Linked DNA regions of Mus musculus. The protein of the gene in region 1 interacts with the protein of each later gene in a biochemical or structural test. Links are inferred from orthologs where the notes say so. Each region holds a gene or a part of one and is shown on either strand. Other genes may lie near its edges.

The links.
Region 2: the proteins of Wbp11 (region 1) and Pqbp1 form a complex in vitro, tested with the Homo sapiens proteins (2 studies listed by BioGRID and IntAct, with this or other methods). The link is inferred for Mus musculus from reciprocal best matches to the Homo sapiens genes WBP11 and PQBP1.

The regions. Positions count from the first base shown.
Region 1 is NC_000072.6:136,818,215-136,821,735, reverse strand, and holds part of Wbp11 (WW domain-binding protein 11), read left to right. Parts: intron 1-73; coding exon 74-207; intron 208-359; coding exon 360-559; intron 560-1,037; coding exon 1,038-1,229; intron 1,230-3,521. UniProt on the Homo sapiens protein: Activates pre-mRNA splicing. May inhibit PP1 phosphatase activity.
Region 2 is NC_000086.7:7,893,998-7,896,200, reverse strand, and holds the end of Pqbp1 (polyglutamine-binding protein 1), read left to right. Parts: intron 1-95; coding exon 96-208; intron 209-318; coding exon 319-597; intron 598-972; coding exon 973-1,036; intron 1,037-1,333; coding exon 1,334-1,490; 3' UTR 1,491-1,682; downstream 1,683-2,203. Other genes in the region: Slc35a2 (UDP-galactose translocator), read right to left, coding at 1,983-2,010. UniProt on the Homo sapiens protein: Intrinsically disordered protein that acts as a scaffold, and which is involved in different processes, such as pre-mRNA splicing, transcription regulation, innate immunity and neuron development.

The sequences.
Region 1 (3,521 bases):
ACAAATTCCGAAGACTTTGGTCCTAGGAGTTGAATGGCTCAGCACCATACAACTGGGTTTCTGTATGTTTCAGAATGCTCAGCATGTGGAAGTAGAGAGCATCCCTTTGCCAGACATGCCGCATGCTCCTTCCAACATCTTGATCCAGGACATTCCTCTTCCTGGTGCACAGCCCCCCTCCATCCTGAAGAAAACCTCAGCGTATGGGTAAGGAAGCCTTACATAATGGAGGGTGGACTGCAGGAGCAGGCCCGGCTAGCACAGCAGCAGCACGGGGTGCTGTGGCTGAGCGGACGGGACATGAGAGCCTGGAGAAGGTTCCTGCCACTCAGCGCCACTGTCCTTCTCCCCCTCCACAGGCCTCCAGCTCGGGCCGTGTCTATCCTTCCTCTCCTGGGACATGGTGTTCCCCGCTTGCCCCCTGGCAGAAAACCGCCCGGCCCTCCACCTGGCCCCCCTCCTCCTCAGGTTCTGCAGATGTACGGCCGGAAAGTGGGCTTCGCTCTAGATCTTCCCCCTCGGAGGCGAGATGAGGACATGCTGTATAGTCCAGAGCTTGGTAGGCAGGGGCAGGGGTTTCCTCCCGTGCCCTTCTCAGTATTGCTTCCATGCTGACCATAGTTAACGTTTGCTACACGGAGAACACAGGAACGCCATGAGGATGCTGTGCTCTTCTGCTGTGTGTCCCTGTGGATAATTTAGCACATCTGCCTGATGAAAGCACCTTAGATAGAATGTTGCTGCAGTTCCCATAAGACAGGAAGAGGTCTTCTCAGTTTCATCAGCGCTGACAAGAGTCACTGACTGTGTGTGAGACTTTACACAATTGTTTCTAATACAGTGTGTTTGCACTTCTTACAAGAAAACAAAAAAGTATTTAAAACTATTACCCAACGCAAATGTCATCATAATACATGGTAGCTGGCATTGCATATAGAAATGTTTTGCAAGTAATGTTGAGCCAAAATGGCATGCCTATTTTTGGATACCAGAGGGCCAACCGTGTCATGTGACTCTCGTGCTCTTTCTGTCATCAGCTCAGCGGGGTCATGACGATGACATGTCCAGCACCAGTGAAGACGACGGCTATCCTGAGGACATGGATCAGGATAAGCATGATGACAGTACTGAGGACAGTGACACTGACAGGTCAGATGCAGAGAGTGACGGGGATGAGTTCGGGCACCGCGAGGACAGTGAGCGCGACAACACTGAGGAGAAGAAGTCAGGTGTGTGCGGGTTAATGTGCCGGGCGTAGATGAACACCGCTGACCCCGGTGCTGAAAGCCCTGGCTTTTGTTAATTAGGTTCAGTGTGTGCGCGCCCGAGTGTACATGCGTGCTAGAGCATCTATGTGGCAGTCCCAGTTGGTTTTCCCGATCCACTGCACAGGGGGTGGGGATGCAGCTTGGGTGATTAGGTTTGGTGAGCCAGCTCACCAGTTCAGGACCAGCTTTTAGCTCCAGTTTGGTTTGGCTTGGTTTTGAGACGGGTGTCTATCACTGTTAATTAGGCTGGCCTCGAGCTCATGGTGACCCTCCTGCTTCAGCCTCCCAAGTTGTGGAGTTAGAAATAAATATAAGCCACCGTACCTGGCCATTTATTTGTCTTGATAGTTTGAAAGGTTTTGACATATTATTCTTACAGGTGTTTGTGAGGAAAGAGTAAGTATATGTAGTTTTTTAAAAGTTATGCAAGAAATTCCACTTTGAGGCAAAAATTGCTAATATACTCTATGATGAACGTGCAGTAGGAAAGGAAGAACATGCATGGTTTTAAATAAGCTTGTGTGCGTGTCTACACTGGGAGCTGGGTTTTCTGTTCTTCATGGGGCCTTTCATAAACTGGGTGACCTTTGTAATTCATATATACTTGTAATTTTATATATAATATATGTGTGTGTATATTATATATTAAATATTTTATATACATATATGTGTCTATACACACATTACATTAACATGTATAATTATATACTATGTATATGTATAAAAGTGTATTTTTCTATATGTCTGCACTGTATTTGTATTTAGAACCATACGCCTGTTCCTTCAAAGCTGGTCACTGGTTGGGAAAGCACCTGTGTAGCGCACTTGGCCTGCATGTAAACAAACCGTTCTCCAAGGGTCAGCTGTGAAGCACCGTTCAGAAAGATGTGTGTGTGTGTGTGTGTGTGTGTGTGTGTAGTGCTGGGGAGTAAGCCTAAGACTTGATGTATATTAAATATATTCAGTTCTGCTGTGTCCTCAATTGTGTGCACACTGTATGTTACGTTTTGTCACAAAAATTTTAAGCACTGTGTTTGGGTACTAAGCAGTGCCAAGCACACACTGAGTGTGTCAGAGCCTAGTAGCCGGGGAGCTTCTTAGGGGCTGTAGCTGTAGTCTCCAGGACGGCATCTGTATACTGTGGTTTTATTTATAAGATCAGCAAGTGACTCTCTTTTTTTTTTAATTGTGTGTGTCTGTGTGCCTCCTACACTTGCGTGTGCCTTGGAGACTACACGGCACTAGATCCCTCAGAGCTGGGTTGTCCAGAGCCCTCTGGAATGCATTAGTGCTCCTTAATCATGATTACGAATGAAAGAAAAGCTTATCAAAAAACTATCATAAATTGGTGTAGGAGCAAGCCTGATCTTGGAAAATTATAGAAGACTCATAAGTTGGAACTGGTCTTAGAAAGGAGAGTGGGGTAGAACTCCAAGTGCAGGACTCCCCTGTAAGACTGCATCCTCTCTCTACTCTGCGGCTGCCAGCTGCTGCTGAGGTCCTGGGGGGTGGCGCTGGGACAGGGTCTTCTGTGTAGCCTTGGCTAGCACAGGACTTACTGACTGGCCTTGAACTGACTGAAGTCCACCTGCTGCTTCCTACTGAACGTTGTGTTCCCCAGTGTGTGTGGACCTCAGATGGCTGGCCCAGCTGCACGTCCTCTCATCTGCTACTGCCTTTACCATAGCCAGGCATTTTTCTGGGCAGTAAAAGTCCAAGATACACTAAAGCTGAACCCACATAGAAATAAATATTCCCTTCCTTAAGTGTTGGCTAAGATGTCAGACACCAGATCAGAAGTGCAGTATCTGTCAGGGTTACTGAAAGATTCTGTAGTGGAAGTGGTGTTGGGGACCGATCATAATCTTTAATCACCTGTTAGAGTATTACTAAGATTTTCCCACCTTTTATGGGGCCTTTTGTCATGATTAGATTACTAATTTTCTAGTGTAAACCATTGGGTACTTTTGGTGCACCCTGCATGCTATGATCGATTTTCCTTACCCAGCACTGTCAGACTCAGTTGTGTTATATTTTATGTTGGTTAATAGGGTATGCTGGTTTCCTGAGTTGGTCAGCTTTCATCTTTTCTGTGACTTACTGTTTTGCTGAATTGCTAAAGAAAATTGTTGCTTTAAGATACATCTTTACCGTTTCAGCTTTTATGTTTAGGGCTTAAAATTGAATTATCTAATTCAGTTTATATACTTCTTAAGTATCCTAACATTTTCTGAACATTAAGTTTTAAGTTAA
Region 2 (2,203 bases), on another chromosome or scaffold:
ATGTGGGACCATGAAGCAGATCTGGACGCAGGTTGAGGTGACAGGTGGTATAAGGGACATCTGAGCTGACACTCCCTCCCTCTCACTGCCCACAGCGGACTCCCTTACTATTGGAATGTGGAGACAGACCTTGTGTCGTGGCTCTCACCACATGATCCTAACTTTGTCGTTACCAAATCCGCCAAGAAAGTCAGGAACAATAATGCAGGTGAGTTGGCAGATGCAGGGATGCTTTAGTGATTCTTGCAGTCTCGGAGAGAGGCTGAAGAGAGACCATATGTGTAAGAGAGAGGCTTCAGGATTTGTGTGTTACCATAGATGCTGAGGACAAGTCGGACCGGAATCTTGAAAAGGTGGACAGAAATCATGAGAAGTCAGATCGTAGTCATGAGAAGCCAGACAGGAGCCACGAGAAGGCAGACCGAAACCACGAGAAGAATGACAGAGAACGAGAGCGCAACTACGACAAAGTGGATAGAGAGAGAGATCGGGACAGGGAACGAGAGCGGGCATTTGACAAGGCAGACCGGGAAGAGGGCAAAGACCGACGCCACCATCGCAGAGAGGAACTGGCTCCTTACCCCAAGAACAAGAAAGGTAAGCACAGCCGGACGAGGTGGTGCATGCCTTTAATCCCAGCTCTTGGGAGGCAGAGGGAGGTGGATTTCTGAGTTCGAGGCCAGCCTGGTCTACAGAGTGAGTTCCAGGACAGCCAGGGCTACACAGAGAAACCCTGTCTCAGAAACCAAAAAAAAAAAAAAAAAAAAAAAATAAAGAGAAAGAAAGAAAGGTAAGCACATGAGTTTGGGACTTACATGAGTCAAATGAGGTACCAGGGCACAGAATGTCTAGTTCATGCCTAGTCTTCTGAAGGGTGCTGTGGGCCATGTGAATCACTGGTATTACTTTTTCCTGTGAGGAGGGGCTCCTTGGTCTCAAGTAAAGAACTTATCCTGCTATTTATTTCTATAGCGACGAGCCGCAAAGATGAAGAATTAGACCCCATGGACCCCAGCTCATACTCAGATGCACCCCGGTAAGTGAAGCCTTTGGCAGTCTTTTTTGTTCAGGATTGCCACCATGCTTTAATCTTGGGCAATTAAGGGAGGCCCACTCCACCCTCTTTTTTTTTGTTTTTTTGTTTTTTGTTTTTTCGAGATAGGGTTTCTCTGTATAGCCCTGGCTGTCCTGGAACTCACTCTGAAGACCAGGCTGGCCTCGAACTCAGAAATCCACCTGCCTCTGCCTCCTGAGTGCTGGGATTAAAGGCGTGCGCCACCAACACCTGGCCACTCCACCCTCTTCCTGTACTCTAATTCTCTCTTGTCCCCAGGGGCACATGGTCAACAGGACTCCCCAAGAGGAACGAGGCCAAGACAGGTGCTGACACCACGGCAGCTGGGCCCCTCTTCCAGCAGCGCCCTTACCCTTCCCCGGGCGCTGTGCTCCGCGCCAATGCAGAAGCCTCCCGAACCAAACAGCAGGACTGACTGACCCCTTGTTCCCTGTAGCTTTGGCAGTTTGCGTTTCTGTGTTTCTTCCTTGTGGCTCTGGGACAGGAGCCATGGCTTCTATGTGCTGCATTATTATTCCACCAGTGAGCTACACTCCCGGCCCCTTTAGTGTTGTTTGTAAACAACAAGCCCTTGTTGTTTAATAAAAGCTTTTTTTGTGGAACATATCCATGAGGCTTGAGTGCTTCCTTTCCTCATCCTTTCCAGGCTTTCCAACCCAACTTCACAAGGTGCAAAACATTTTATTTGCAGAAACTCACCTAAGAAATACTGTAAAGATAGCAGGAGTAGAGGTGGGCCCATTAACAGAGGTTAGTCATGTCAGCCCTATGTGGGGCAGGGGTTGGTAAGGACAGGGAGTTCCCGTGTCTACCTCACCCTACCCCTAATACTGATAAGAGTTTAGTCCCAGTTGGGCCAGGGCAAGAAGGGAGAACGAAGACAGGCCAGCATCTTCAAGTCCAGCAGCTACGACCCCTTCACCTTGGTGAGCAACCTGTGGTGAAAATGGGAAGGAAAGAGAAACACAGAAAGCTGGGGTGGGCCGGTGGGTGGGTTTCCTAAGCAAGCGAGGCTGGTAGTAAGCTACTAATCTTGGAGTTAGTAATGGTGCTTATGTGGAAAGAGCAGGCCCCTGGGTCAGAAAGCTACACATGGACTAAATAAATACATCATCTTTATTTGGCATT